4 linked regions of the Drosophila melanogaster genome follow. The protein of the gene in region 2 interacts with the protein of the main gene of each other region in a pairwise test. Each region holds a gene or a part of one and is shown on either strand. Other genes may lie near its edges.

Region 1 (3,132 bases), about 18 Mb from region 2:
ATCAATACGCTGGCCTTTAGCAAGGCCACCCAAAAGCTGCTTGAAACTCCGGAGACGCCACAGTCAGATGCGGAAGGAGAAGATGCCGCCGGGCAGGTCTTTGGCGAGCAGAATCTTTCGGAGTGTGGTCTGCTGCCGGCAGTAGTTGGCTCCATCTGCCGCACGGGCCAACATGCCGTAGGTCTTTTAGAGCGCGTTTGCTATCAAAGAGATGAGGGATATGCTTGGAGCTAGACACCAAGTGCTCCTCACACTAGAGCAGCTTTGTTTTCCTAATCTGTACGTCTGTTATGTGAAATAAAATATTGTAGTAGAATAGCAAGCCCGTGGTGTCATTGTTTTTCGTACTAATCGCATGGTAGCAAGTATCTGTGGCTACTTCAGATTATAGCGGTATTAAGAGATAATATTAAAGCAAAGGGATTGCTTACAAGATAACTATCGTGTAGCAATTAGCGCTTGCAGTTCGTCATTACATTAAGTCCCCGGGAATTCAGCAGCCAAATTGATTGTGCTTAATCTTAGGCGGTATGATTTATTATGGATAAAGGGGTTGAGTACTAGCTAGTTGTCCACCATGATGAGCTCGTCGATGCTCCAGTCCTCGTAGGAGTGATCCGGCAGGTATCGGCGGATGATGATGGGAATTTTCTTTTGTTTCAGCTCTTTCATGGCGATCTGCAGGGGGTCCGTTTCCCCGTCCAGCTCCACCATGATGGGTGCGCACATGGCGATCTGAAGCGCTCGTGTGCCCAGAACTCTGGCGCGCTCGTATTTCGTCATGTACTTTGTGGTAATGCGCTTGGACTTGGGCACACCGCCTCCGCCCGCACCACCGGGAGCTATGATCTCGATGTTGTCCGCCTCCTCCTCCTGGTTAATGTCCTCGTCCACGTCCTCGTCGACGTCGTCGAAGTCATCGCCGCCAACGCTGCAATTGTTAAGTAGGTGATTAATGGGCACAGCTATTGATTGTGTTACGCCTGCACTTACTCGTCGTTGTCGTAGTCCGCATCATCCATCACTGCTTTTCTATTGTTTTAATCGAAATTAAATAGTAAAGTGCGGCGTGTTTTGCACGCGTCGCAGTCTTCTTCTTCTTTCACACTGCTGCATGCGGTTTTCAGCACTGGAGCACAGTGCGCAGAACTTCCAGTGCTTCTCAAACTTTCAGGGCTGCATTTCTGGCAAATGGAAAAGTGATTACTTATCGAATAGCCGTCTGTGTCGCGAGTATTTGAAATTGGTGGAATTCGTATAAAGGTTAGACTATTTGAATATTTTAAAGTTTAAACTACTAAAATCTGATTTATACGTCTTCCTAAAATAATTTAATCCAATTAGAGTAGTTGATTCCATAAAATTTAAATTATAAATAGTTAAATAATAATCAAATGAAACACTTACCTATTGGTTTGTTATATTTTAGCCCTTCATCTAAACGGACATTTAACGTAATCGAATTCAGTATTTTCTTAATAAAAAAAGGGAATATTAGTCGCCTGCTCCTGGATAACTTGGAAAATACAAACCTTGTAATCCCGGATGAGTTCTGTGATAATATGGACGCTGGAGTGATGCGGTTGGTGGGCGAGTTCTGGGCAAAGATGCCGCGGGACAACCGGCTGGATTAGGTTCGTACGAAGGGGGGTATGCCGGAGAATATCCGGATGGAGCTGGTGGATGTCGATTTCCGGGCGGACTGCTTGGAGCTAGATATCCCGGCTCGTAGTCGTAGTCGACGCAGGTGCGAATGGAGACGTTTCTTCGTCTGCCAGCGGGGCCTCGATGGATGGCTTCCCTGTCGAAGCGATTCAGATCGAAGTTGGCTAGAGGATCCACTTCCCGCTGACGCGTGCTTCTGGGAGGATACGGATAGTAGGGATCCTGGGGTTCCTGGCAGTTTTCATTTATCGCGTGAACGGCGGGCTGAAACGATCGCGAGGAGTCGCTGCATGGAATCTCAGAATGTGGGTCCGGCTGCAGCAGAATTGGCTCCTCCAAAGCCACTTTCCGATTCTCGCCTAACCCGATGGGGTATGGATCCGAATGATACACCCGTGTCCTCCGCGCAGCTGCTCCACTATGTCCGTTTCCTGGGCAATTGGTACAGCATCTCTGCGGCTTGTTCCCGGAGGTGTCGCAAACCATTTGCCTTGCGGGCTCCGGAGCTAAGGCACAGCAGCATCGCTGGCGGATCTTAGTGGGCGGAGGTAAACTACGGCTTATCGGCGCTTGAGGAGTGCAGCAGCACCGGGTTTCCGCAGCCACGCCCTTTGGTGGCCGCTGTGAGCGAATCACGAAGCAGTGGCGACTGCGATTCCGCTCCGGATTCCGCTGGCTTCCGCGGCAGTTGCAGATGTCCTGCCCGGAGCTGAGCTGCGCTGGCCTCCGACCCACCTGGTAGGCGCTCGGACTGTTCCCTGTCCGGAAGGAGACGCTGATGTATTAAAGGAACACACACATACCACCTGTTTTACTTTACCCATTAGCGGTCACATTGGCTTTATTGACCCGGAAAACAGGTCGAAACTGGAAATTTGGCTAACCTGAAATTTGGGAGTACTGTCATGTCATGTTGTGAGCGTTATAATCTGTGTAGCCTGCTGCGTAGCGCCTGCTGGGATCCCAACGTTCTCCCGTGGCACGACATCCAGATCACTGAATGACGCACTTCTTCTGCTTCTTCTGCGATCGACAGTGGCCGCAGGAGTTCGGGTTCTGACTCTGGTTGCCGTGGTGCGGGCGATAGGGTTGCGGTCCTCTGGGCACGTTCTGGCCACAGGTCACGTTGGCGTAGGTGGGCTGGGCCATCGCCTGCTGCTGCTGTTGGTTGGGAGGCGGGGCCACCGGCGGGGCGCAGTGGCACTCCGTCTTGGCGGGCTTCTCGCGACAGGTGCAGCGGGTCTCCAGGGCAGGCGGCTGCTCCCGCGGACCCCGGCTGCACGTGATGTGGTCCGCCTGAACGGATGGCGGAGGTGGCCGGCTACGGTTCTGAGTGCACGTGCACTCCACGGTGGGGGCTCCCCGGCTCTGGTAGAGGCTGCATGCGGCGGGATCGCCCGGCGGCTGCGTCGAGTTGACCTGGCACCCGCCTGCTCCCTGGCCCCGCGGACCCGGATAGGGACAGCT
Region 2 (5,124 bases):
TTAATTAAAACTAATGAAAACTTTTGTGCCCACCCACTTGTTCACCCTCTGCAGCCCAGTAGTCAATCTTGCAATTTCTGGCCAACGACAAATGACAGGAGGCAGGCAGGTTTTTAAGGTCCTGCAGCAGGACGTCTGCCAACTGGCACAAGCCAAGCCCAGCACTTGGCCGACATTTCACCAAACCCAAACCGAAAGAGGGGATTTTCGGGTGAGGCACGGACTTCGGATTCGACCTCCGGGCGCATTGACAGAAGAAAGTTGAAAACACTTTGGCCACAATTGTGCAAACCGAACAAAATGAGCTGCAACCACGCACTTGAGGGCAACTCGGAAATGAGCAATGAAAGTGCGTGGCCATGCAATTAGACAACTCCTCCAGGAAGTGGACAAGATGCAACTTTTATGCAGGGAAGCACTCCAGAAAGGTGCACGAGTTTTGATTGGAGGACTCTGGCGATTGAATATGATTAAATCGCTTTAATTACAACACAATAAATTAAAATACGAGGGTAATTGAAAATGTGAATGCCGATAACATCTATATAATTATTGTGCATTTTGTGATGAATTTAAAATGGCAAATAAATAAACCACTTGAAACCACTTGTTTATTTGCGATGAATAAAGAAAAAACAAATATTGTTTGCGCTGTACAATTCAATTCAATCGAAAACAGCATATTGATCTTTTAAACTGGGTTTCAGACTTGCAATTTTATTAATTGACCCTAGTGGAAATAAATCCAAGAGACCATTAATAACCAAAATGTAGGTTATTTTTTAATTAATGGCTTATAAAAATATATATTTGTTTTGTATCACTTAATATTTTATATTATGGCCGCATTGTATGCATTTGTTGAATTATTACCGTTCATTAGACTCTGGCAACTGATATATTTTTGCATAAAATATCCATTCAAGATCCTTTTGAATGACCAACATATGAATTTGTAAGCATTATTTGGAGATTCCAATGTCGATAGAAAATAAATGGCTTTCGAACAAATAATTTGCGGAATGGTTACCAAGCGGCCTAATTTTTCTTCCTGCCGTGGCAAAATTTGACAGGGTTAGGTGCCCTTAGATGGGAACTGGGCCTTTTGCGTAAAAATGATGGTTTGATCTTGGAGGACGGCGTTTCGCGAAGGGACATCGACCCAATGGAGCTTCCATCGATACATCGTGCGGTCGTGGACAACTCAGAAGTCTCCATAAGTCCACCACGACCAGGGTATAAAATGTTGATCAATGGAGCGTGAGAAGTTCTTAGATTTTCGGCATGCGTCTCCTCTACTTCGTGCGATTTGAGTTTTGTAAGCGCATAAACTGAACAATTGGATGCACCTCCAGCTGGCTTAATGTTCACCATGTAGGAATAAGAGGATCCCTTGTTCAGGACTTTGCTGCCCTCGTGTTGGAGCTGCAGTTTCACGAGAAGATCGCCAATCTGGCTGAAAATCTTATCAGTCTCTGAGATAACTTTCTCACATTTTCCTCCCTTGGCAATTAATGGTAGATGTTTCCTTTCGCTAATTGCTGATTTGGTGGAAACCTCGGGATATCTAATCTTTTGGTTCTTTTTACGTTTAATTTCGAAGGTGTCTTGCCGGCGAAGGCCTGAAAGTGGAATCAAGCTGGTGCAACGTGCCTGTGGAGTTGGTTCTGCTGGTCCAATTTTCCCATGAACATTTTTCATCTGCTCTAGCGTGCAGCAAATCTGATTCATACCTGGCATAGTCCGAAACAATAGTTTGCTGTCTTCTATTTTCATGTTGGTAATGCTAATGGATGTATCTTTCTCTTCCAGTCCAGCAATACTAAGGCTCTCCAGATCCTCTTTAAAGCGGCGCTCATTATCTGCATCATTCAGTACAGCCAATGCTTGAGAGCTTAGGTTTATAGGCATATCTAATTCTGGAGGTGGTTCTTCATCCTCCAGGAGGGGAAAATATTGCTGCTCTATATCTGCCTGAACCTTTTTCATCCGTTCCTTTTCTATGGAACTAAGCATTGCTTCCAAATCTGAACGATCCTCATATTTCGCACAGTCTACCAAAATAAATGGTGCAGCCTGGTCATCTATCTCTTGGGATTGGGGTTCCACGTTCAGTCGAATAGGCTCCGTGTTGACAACTCTCGATGGTTCAGGTTGTTCTACTTTTGGTGTCCGATCTCTACGACTCTTCTTCTTCATGACGGCTGAAAAATAATTATTTTTAGACTAAAAAATACTATTTGTTAAAAATATTTAATCAAAAATATACTTATTTTCTACCATCACATTTTCACATAAGCCTCCTAATTTTTTTTCGTACACCTTTTTATGTATCATTCAAGTCAAATTAGCAGCGCCAATCGCATTGTGCTTGATTGTGGCCAAGTCGGCAAAGCCGTGATTAGGCCAACAAGAAACACTCACCTGGTCGCCACGAACTCGATGCTGCCACTCCCACGGTTGTTGTTTCGCTGTTGGCTCGGCTGCAAACAGAAATTTAAATCCCTCAAAAGTACTCGGCGAAGAAAAACGAAATTGAAAAGGATAAAAGTTTTGCGTGCCCCAGAATCAACAGGGACGAACCTTCAGCCCCTGATCCAGCTTCTGCTCCTGAATTTTGCTCCTGTCTTGGCTCCTGGGCACTTGTAGCTGCCTCTGGCCAAAAAGTGGTGGATAGTAGGAGGAGCGTTGGCGGACAGGAACACAATCCGTAAACCAAAACTTTATTTTGTGCTGATAAAAACTTAAATGTTGCTGCCGCTGCCACGCAATCGTAAATGTTTGATATCCCCAAAGGTTAACAATTTCCGTTGCCGCTTGGATCTGCTCTGCTTCGGCCCAAGTTAGTTTTCTTTATTTTGTTTGCCAAGAATTTTGCGGTTGGCCAACTAAACCGCATACACACAGCTGGTGTGGGAGTGTCTTTGGGCTGTCTGTTCGACTGCTGTGAATGTTTTTGTTTGTGTCTAGAATGGGACCAGGAATACGGATAGGGCCCCTGCTACTTGGGGAAAGGCGTACTCTGTTCAATTTAGATCATCTATGTGGAGCTATAGGAATGGACAATCCTGTATTCCGGGAGCTGGTGTTCCCAAATTTTGATATTCAAAATGGTTCTTCGAAAGTCACTGCGCCTGACAATTACGGCAATGCTTTAAATTATATTGTAAAAATAAGAAAACGAAAATGTTGTTCTCCATCTAATACTTTCTCACTCATTACAGCAGAAAACGAATAAATATATGCAATTTCTTTCTTAAATTGTATAAAGAATTTATATTTTTAATAATCAACTCTGAACTCAAAACTACGATTTCCCTAAAAATTGTGAGAGTAAATGCTTTTTTAAAACAAAGCAAATTAAAGCAAAGCAAAAATTTGAAAGTAAAGCAGTAAGTATCATACCAAGAATTTAATTCTTAACTGAGCGTGAAGGGCAGAGCACTAGAAATGCCCTTTCTCTTAACTTTACGATATTCGCAGCCCCACTCACAGGACTAAAAAGCTCTCTCTGCCGCCCAGAACAATAAGTTCCGAGGACTCGGCTCGAAGCGCACACGACGATTCATAAACAAATCGAGCTGTTCCTGGCCGTGGCGATTCAGTTGAATTCGTTACGAGCTGGCGAAAGGACGTGCTTGGCGGTCGTCGTCGTGGTGAAAGGCTATTATATCGAGTGGCATTCGGTGTCTGAGGTCCACGTTCGTGTGTCAGAGTTTGGCCAAAACTAAGGCGCGAAAACACATTTGCGGCGAGTGCGATTTTGTCGAGTTTTACTCAGTGTTTTCCATCGAGCTTTCTTAGCTTGCTAAAACGTGTGCGGGCAATTAAAGTTTCTAGCGTCCCACTGACTGATGGTCGCGCAAATGGCCATTGCAAATTGCATGTTTTCGTGGCGAGTAGTGCATGTCGCAGCATGACACCGAGAGCCCAATAGCAAATGCATGTGAGCCAGCCGAAGAGGGCTTAAAGTGTTTTTTGGCCAGCCCTTGTTCGCCAAAGTGGAATTATCGTCCAGCAAGACAAACGGCACGCAAGGCCGGGCTAATGAAAGCCCCATCAAAGGCAAGTGCAAATTTGTGCTAGGGGTTGGGCAGGAAATCTAATTAAAGACGAAATGGCAAATGCGGAGCATAAAATAATTGCAAATGTAGATGAAACCTGGTGGCAGCATGTGAGTCCCAGGAAATGGGTTTCGCTTGACAAAAAACAAAACCCCAACCACACAACCGAAAGGAATTCGCATACATATCAAATTTATGAAAGGCAACCTCACACACACATTTCCACATGTGGCTATGTGTGTGTGTGAGAGTGAGTGCCCTGGCCAGAACTGAAATTTATTTATTTGTTTTCCTTACTTACGAGGCAGAAGGGACAGGAAAAAGTAAAACTACACCGGCAGCTGAGTTCGGAAAACTCTAATAAAAACAAATGTTGAACAATGGATGTGTGGCACTTTAAATTACTGAAATATGTTCGCTAGTCTTGCAACTTTCAGTAACATGAGAAAAATGATTACCTATAAAATATTTTTAACACTTGTTCAATCATTTTTTGATTATCCAATGATTAGTCCTTTTGTGGCAAAGTCCTTTAATAAACACTTACCAAGTTCAGTTCGTTGGCTCTGGGAAAACATACAGAGGTGGTCAAAAGTATTTTCACAACGCACAATATTTGCAAACTTCAACTTCTTTTTGTTATATTTCTTCTTGTTGTTGTCCGATTTGCCTGAAATAGTTCTTATCGCTTAGCTTGATCTATGCAGAAGGTAGTCGAAAAGAAATACGAAAGATAACGGTTCATAGTACAAAGCTTAAAGCAAAAGAAAATATGCATGCAAGTTGTCAATAGTATTTTCACATGTTTATTGCGCTTCAAAAGTATTTTCACTCAACTTAATTTAGTAAATTTCAGCTTAACATCTAATTTCAACATAAGAATTTCTTTATTTTATATAAATACAATACTAATATTTTGTAACACCACCTTTGGCATCAATAACTGCTTGAAGTCTTTTTGGTATTGACCTTACCAAAGTTTGTGCAAATTCTAATGTCAATTTGGACCAAATCTCCGCTATTTCAATGATGGCTCCCTCTCGTTTTCTATTTTTATCAA
Region 3 (2,959 bases), about 14 Mb from region 2:
TAAAAACATCAAATATTGGTCTCAAAAAAAAAAAAAAAAAAAAAATTATGACCGTAATACTGTCAAAAACAAGCACACAATAATTATAATGATGATCAAATAAAACTGGAAATTAGCCCAAAGTGTGTTAAGTCAAGCGAGGAATCCGAACAAAGGAACTACAGCCAGCACTGGAGGCAAAAAGTGACAGTAAAATTGGCTCGAAGACAGCGGCTAATGAGCGTGCGATAGGAATAAAGGAGTAGAATGGGGCCAAAAACCCAAGAAACTCAAGTTGGCTAAAAGGCAAAGATATCGCAGTACTAGTCAAATACGAGAATACTGAGAGAGCATTTTGCGATGGGCTTGTGGCAAGACTAAGCGTCTTACTGGCAAATTGGGAACGGGGTAAGAGGAAAAGCCGAAAGCTAAACAAAGACGGCCAACGCAGATGGCAAAAAGGAAAAACTCAATTGCCGCACAAACCGAGCCGCCATTGTTTTCTTAATTGAGTGTCTTTTGCTAGTGTGTCTGTGTGCCAGTATGTTTGCTCATACATATATGGGGTATCTGTGTGCCAGGACACTATGCTCATTGCCGCCTATCTGCCGGCAGAGTTCGCTTATCAATTACATTGAATTTACCCAGGCAGAAATGGCTTTTAGCCATTCTAGGCACCACCCCCTGCAATCAATATTTGCCGGAAGTGATGGCATAGGCAGTCACATTGACTTTTGCGCCGACTGCTCACCTCTCCACTTCCTGTGCTTCCGATTTGACGCTGATTTCACAACTCGCCGCACGGAAATTGCCCGGCCCCCCATTTACGGCTTCAGTAAACAACCGCACCTCACGTTTCTTGACCACCCCTCCACTCCATTTCGATTTTCGAATCTTCACTGTACTGCAGTTGACGAAGGCGCACATTTTATGTATGTATTTGCCGTGAATCTCCAACTCCATCCTACTTCATAAGTCGCCTGATTTATTCCGGCCACGTAGCACTCACTGCACAGTTTGATTGCCACATTCGCATGTAAATGCTGGCCTCTAAAAAGTATTCAAACCAAGCGACCCAATCCCACAAATCTGTCCCACGTCATCGCGCATAATCGAGCTTTTAATTTCGGGTAATAAAACTTTGCCGATTTAATATCAGGTACGTGGCGCCTTCATTCTACAAAAGAAAGCCATAAAATGTGGAACTGACTTCGAGGGAAGCCATAAACTTATGTTTTTCAATGAAGGATAAATAAGAAAAATAACTAGTTGTTACACCTTTCAAATTTTTAAAGCATATTCCCCAATTTATTGTCAAGTGATTCATCAACGATTTCTGTGGCCTGCAAAGTTTGCCTTGAAAGGCAAAAGATTTTGTTCATTAAACAACGTGATACACGAAACCAAACTGAAAAAAACTTTGTTCTACGAGTATTTCAAACTTTTCGCCAAGTTTACGCATAATTTTTTACGATATTTTCCGCAGTTTTTCCTTTTGACGGCTCATCTTATTCTTATTGTTGTTCGAAAGGACTTACCCAGCATCCAGGGATCTCTAATAGATTTCCGGCAAACAATTTTATTCACTTTCTGCTATTGAATTTGGTATTATTAATGCCGCATTTCCTAAGCTGTGGGCATTAAGTATATGGCTAACTTTTCTACTTCAGGATATTAAACGAATTCATTACAATATTTTTCATAATTTTATTTCTTTTGGCAAGAAGATATTAAAGTAGACCAGCATTTAAAAGAAAACTTGTCTGCACAGAAAACTACGTTTTGTTGAGTAGCAACTGTAGATAAAAAGTTACGAAAATGTTTTTCGCTCTGACATTGCTGTCAAAACTCATCAAAAAAATACTATTTGAACATTTAAAAATATAAAATGGATTCAGATGCCGATGGTGGCGAGACCGTTTCGAATTTCTCTGAAAATTCGACGGATTTTGAAGAAACTGAGGAGTATATTGTAGAGAGGATTTTGGATCGAAGGCATTATATGGGCCAATTACAATACTTGGTCAAATGGCTGGATTATAGCGATGAAGATAATACCTGGGAATCGGCAGCAGATCTCGATTGCCATTCACTTATTGATTCGATTGAATCACAAAAAAGTCTGAAGAGGGGTCAAGAGCTGAATAATCAATATGAAACTAAAGCTAAACGACTGAAAATCGATCCATGTCTAGTAGTAGATAGTCCTTTTAATCATGGTTTCACTGCACAAGAGATTCTAAAAGGCGCTAAAAACAATGGTGAAATATCGTTTTTAATTAGGTTTTGGCATCTCGATCAACCACAAGTGGTGCCAAGTGGAATTGCATATGTGGAAATACCGCAGATGGTTCTGAAATTCTATGAAAATCATTGCAATTTTCACGATTATTTAAATAATTATATATCATGACTTGCAATTCTGGATCTTCAAAAAAAAAAAACTTATGAATATGTGTGTGAGCTTCTTATATTTTATATGTTAGGTTAAATTGCTTTACTTTTTATAATAAAAGGTGTCCCTTTGCACAGCATTACAAACAATAATGAAGGCAAAATGCCAAGTTTTAAGTGATTTTTGGGGCGTGTTTGCCCGACAGGCAGCGTAAACACTCTTAATTGCAACAACAGTGCCGGCAAACAAGGGCCAGGAATGTACGACGGCCAAAATGAAGCGAAAATATTTGCATTCCGTTTTTGTGGCCATTCCCTTGTCTCATCGCAAGTACCAAAAGTCGTAAGACCTATTCTCTGTTTTTGGCTGATGGGGCGTGGTGGCCGGACGTACTTTTGCCCTATATATTCGTGTTTGTTTTTCGTCACTTGGGTCCTTTTTTTTGGAGGGGGGGGGGGGGGGCTCTGGTGCTACCCAGTTGCGTCCAGTGGGCACGTAGCCACAATAGCAGCAAAAAGGTTTCGTTTAAGCCTTCTGCACTTTTGCCGAGAATTGATACTGCAATATCCGGTCGAGCAAGTTCAA
Region 4 (4,149 bases), on a different chromosome or scaffold from region 2:
CCTGTGCTCACAGAGTCGCTACTGATTTGTGAATATCTGGACGAGCAGTATCCATTGCGACCACTCTATCCACGTGATCCGCTGAAGAAAGTGCAGGACAAGTTACTAATCGAGCGATTTAGAGCGGTGTTAGGTGCCTTCTTCAAGGCATCCGATGGCGGTGATCTGGAGCCCTTCTGGAGCGGCCTGGACATCTACGAAAGGGAGCTGGCTCGACGTGGTACGGAATTCTTTGGTGGCGAGCAGACGGGCATTCTGGACTATATGATTTGGCCCTGGTGTGAGCGCCTCGAGCTCCTTAAGTTGCAGCGTGGAGAGGATTATAACTACGATCAGAGTCGCTTCCCCCAGCTGGTGAGCAGGTCCGTGTATCCCAGGAGTGATGAAGTACATTAGTATACCATTTTTCAGACCCTTTGGCTGGAACGCATGAAACGAGATCCGGCTGTGATGGCCTTCTACATGGAGGCCGAGGTTCAGGCGGAGTTCCTGCGTACACGGAGCCTGGGTCGACCCAATTACAATCTGCTGGTCAAGGATGCCTGATGCACTTGGTTTATTGAATTTTTCGCATGGAATGAATAAAACATAAATGCAGTCCATAACCGGTTCCAAAGATTTGATCTTGTCTAAACCAGTTGTCGTTCTATGGTGTACCCTTGAAGGCAATGTCGTACTGGGGATTTCCAAGGGTCTTCGATTTCTGGAACTCAGCATGCAACTGGACATCCAAAGCTGTCTTCTGCACAACCTCATCCTGGGTCATCAAATCGCGCCACTTGAGCTGTAATGGATTTTTGATGAGATACATGCATCATCTTATGTTGGATTACTTAAACATACCAGCTTCTCAAATCGTTTTGTATCCAGCTCATACTTTTGCTCCGTATTGATCTTCATGCTGGGAAAACGTTCGAACCAAGGCCAAATCATGTAGTCCACGATTCCAATGTGCTGGCCGGCAAAGTAGGGCGTTCCTCTTTTGCCCAACTCCACTTCAAAAACATCCAAGGCATTCTCGAAGTTCGGTATGGCATCTTTCGGAGCGTTGGGATTACAAGTCAGCACAGGATAAATGGCACTGACCACTGGAGCAAAACGTTCGATTAGAATCTTGTCCAGCGCCTTCTGAAGCGGATCCGTGGGAAAGAGTCGCGTCTGGGGATATTGCTGGTCCAAGTACTCTGCTATGATGAGCGACTCCACGAGGGTCGGTTGGTCCTTCACCCCAGTAAGCTGCAGGGCTGGCACTTTGCCCAGAGGACTGAAATCCTTGTACCATTCAGGCTTCTCAATCAAATCGACGTAGATCTTATGATGTTCAATATGTTTGGCGGCCAGCATCAGACGAACTCGGTGGCTGAAGGGGCAGAATGCCATGGAAAAGAAACGAGGAACTCCATCTTCTGGCAGCTCGGGCTTGGTGGAACCTGTAAGATCAATGTAAGCTTGATTAATTGGCAGGAATAAAAGCACTGACCCAAATCCCAGTTGAAAAGGTAGAAATAACATTTGATGGTCTACTTTATATATGGGTTTAATATTTTTTTAAAAGCGGTTTCACAATGTTAGTTTAAGTATGTTGCTTCCTGTCATCCATTAATACATCCTTTACAAGGGCTGGAAGGCTACATCGTAGTCCGGTTTGTTCTCATGGCGGGTCTTCATGAACTTCGCATGGATTCGGGCATCCAAAGCGGTGGCCTTGACAGCCTCATCCTGAGCCACCAGATCCCTCCACTTCAACAAATTCTGATAGCGTGTCTTGTCCAACTCGTAGGGTTCATCCAGAGTGTACTTGAGGGCCGGGAATCGCTCGAACCAGGGCCAAATCATGTAGTCAGCAATGCCGATCTTGTTGCCTCCAAAGTATGGTGTTCCGCGCTTGGTGATCTCCTGCTCGAAGACATCCAGAGCGGTCTCAAAGTTCTTGATGGCATCAGCGGGTGGATTCTTGGTGAACAGCACGGGGTAAATGGCGCTGACAGCGGGCGACAGGCGTTCGATGAGAATCCTGTCTAGCGCCTTTTGCAATGGATCCTTGGGGAAAAGGGAGCCCTCGCCCGGATACTGTTCATCCAAGTACTCGGCAATGACCAGGGACTCCACCAAAGCCGGTTGTCCAGGCAGATTTGGCAACTGGATAGCCGGCACCTTGCCCAATGGACTGTAGTCGATGTACCACTCTGGTTTCTCGCTAAGATCAATGTAAACCGTGTGATGTGGAATCTTTTTGGCGGCCAAAACCAAACCGGCACGCTGCGAGTACGGGCAGAATCTCATCGAATAGTAACGCAGGACTCCATCCTCGGGGATCTCCGGTTTGGGCGAACCTGTTGAAGGGTGATTTGTGACGTCAGCAGAAAGTTTTCCATTATGCTTTGGCTAAAATTAAAGCTCTATCTCTGCGTAATTTACGCCTCTCAAAGTGGGGTCTAGATAAAACTATGAAATCAATTGCCAACTTTTGCAGCGTCACTATCCCGATGACCTTGAAGTGCCCCCAACTCACCCCTCTTGAAGTGCTTTTGCGGCAGGGCCATTTTGTTAACAATTTTAAAATAATTCCCAAGACGTGAAATGTTGGTGGCAAAGTAGTTCCGATCGACTGACAACAAATAGAGGGATTCCGGTACCTTATAAAGTGGTCGCAGTCGCCGGACGAGTGAATTTATCGAATATATTTCGATTGTTGAGCGGGTGAATTTAAAATTCTTAAGCTCATATTTAAGAAAATTGTTTGACCACATATTAAAGACTACAAACGACTACTCTAAGATAAGTATTTTCATATCCATTTATCATTCATACCTTCATTAATCTAATTCTAAAACAAACGTACTTACAACCCGTATAAACAATGAAAATGCAAAGATTTATTTTTCAATCACAATAATGCTGCCGTAGTAGGTACATGTGTTACATGTTATATGTGCAAAAGGTACAATGCTGAAGTGGAAACGCCATCATCCCGTAGACTACCCCAATTTGACACGTTTGGCCTCATTGCTAGAAACGAGAAATGGATCAGTCACACATTATATGTATAATCTTCAAATCTTACTATAGCATATTATAATCGGCCTGGCCCGATCGCCGGGAGTTCATGTATTTGGCATGGGTCTGTCCATCCAGATAGAAACACTTGACAGCACGATCCTGGATCATCAAGTCGCGCCACTTAATCTGCAGTAGAACAATCTCGGTAATTTAAAAGACATAATTAGAAAACCAATAGGACCCACCAAAGTGGGAAAACGTTCCGGACTCAATTCGAATTTTTGTTCAAAAGTGTATTTCAGAGAGTCAAAGCGCTCGCACCAGGGCCACATCATGTAGTCAAGCATGCCTGGGCTGTCGCCACCAAAGAACTTGGTACAACGTCGCTTCAGTTCCTCCTCATAAACGACCAATCCGGCATAGTGATCGGTGTCAACCAGCTGCTCGGGATTGTCGTGCAGCAACAGGTAGTAGAAGGCATTGATGAACTGTCCGAAACGTTCGATTAAAATCTTCTCCTGGGCTTTTTTAAGCAGATCCTTGGGATACAATGGCACCTCCGGATACTTTTCGTCCAAGTAGTCACAAATAATGAGCGACTCGATCAGCACAGGATTTCCCTGTTCCTTGACCAGCTCCAGTGCCGGCACCTTTGTGGAGCTGCTCACCAGGGAGAACCACTCGGGTTTGTCGCGAAGATTGATGTAGATAGCGTGGTAGGGAATCTTTTTGGCATCCAGGACCAGGTGCACACGGTGTGCATAGGGGCAAAAGCGCATCGAATACAGCTTTAAGATCCCATCATCCGGAAATACGGGCTTTGGCGAGCCTGCAATATATATGCGCCTTTTAAATGTGAATTTGGAACTTAGTAACTTATACTAACCAATAGTTAAGTGCTGAGTATTGCTCATATTGGCAATACAATTTTTTCTGGAAAGGAACACAACCTGTTTTGCGGGTTATGACAATTATCGATATTTGACAGTAAACGTTAAGGTGGCTCGATAACGTATTGTCTTTTTACAGGATTGATGTATTTTTAATCAATTATTATTTAATCGGTTTAAAAAAATCTATCTTAATCTTAAATATTAATTTTTACAACTTTAATTTTTTTAAATATAATTCAGTCATCTATTCATCTAT

Evidence for each region.
Region 1: the proteins of CG10164 (region 2) and Polr2F interact in a two-hybrid assay, tested with the Drosophila melanogaster proteins (one large-scale study listed by BioGRID).
Region 3: the proteins of CG10164 (region 2) and HP1e interact in a two-hybrid assay, tested with the Drosophila melanogaster proteins (one large-scale study listed by BioGRID).
Region 4: the proteins of CG10164 (region 2) and GstO2 interact in a two-hybrid assay, tested with the Drosophila melanogaster proteins (one large-scale study listed by BioGRID).

Annotation. Positions count from the first base shown.
Region 1 is NT_033777.3:5,369,777-5,372,908, reverse strand, and holds Polr2F (RNA polymerase II, I and III subunit F), read right to left. Parts: upstream 1,115-3,132; 5' UTR 1,023-1,114; coding exon 994-1,022; intron 932-993; coding exon 565-931; 3' UTR 512-564; downstream 1-511. Other genes in the region: hd (humpty dumpty), read left to right, coding at 1-234; CG34277 (uncharacterized protein), read right to left, coding at 1,434-1,474, 1,533-2,423, 2,486-2,489; CG31542 (uncharacterized protein), read right to left, coding at 2,659-3,132. UniProt on the Drosophila melanogaster protein: DNA-dependent RNA polymerases catalyze the transcription of DNA into RNA using the four ribonucleoside triphosphates as substrates.
Region 2 is NT_033777.3:23,553,809-23,558,932, forward strand, and holds CG10164 (uncharacterized protein), read right to left. Parts: upstream 3,136-5,124; 5' UTR 2,425-3,135; intron 2,205-2,424; 5' UTR 2,200-2,204; coding exon 1,039-2,199; 3' UTR 515-1,038; downstream 1-514.
Region 3 is NT_033777.3:9,319,959-9,322,917, forward strand, and holds HP1e (heterochromatin protein 1e), read left to right. Parts: upstream 1-1,811; 5' UTR 1,812-1,867; coding exon 1,868-2,392; 3' UTR 2,393-2,403; downstream 2,404-2,959.
Region 4 is NT_037436.4:8,520,889-8,525,037, forward strand, and holds GstO2 (glutathione S transferase O2), read right to left. Parts: upstream 2,614-4,149; 5' UTR 2,544-2,613; coding exon 2,513-2,543; intron 2,334-2,512; coding exon of another isoform or gene 1,612-2,333; exon of another isoform or gene 1,523-1,611; intron 1,431-1,522; coding exon 844-1,430; intron 785-843; coding exon 647-784; 3' UTR 547-646; downstream 1-546. Other genes in the region: se (sepia), read left to right, coding at 1-354, 412-546; GstO1 (glutathione S transferase O1), read right to left, coding at 2,979-3,009, 3,065-3,186, 3,246-3,829, 3,887-3,914.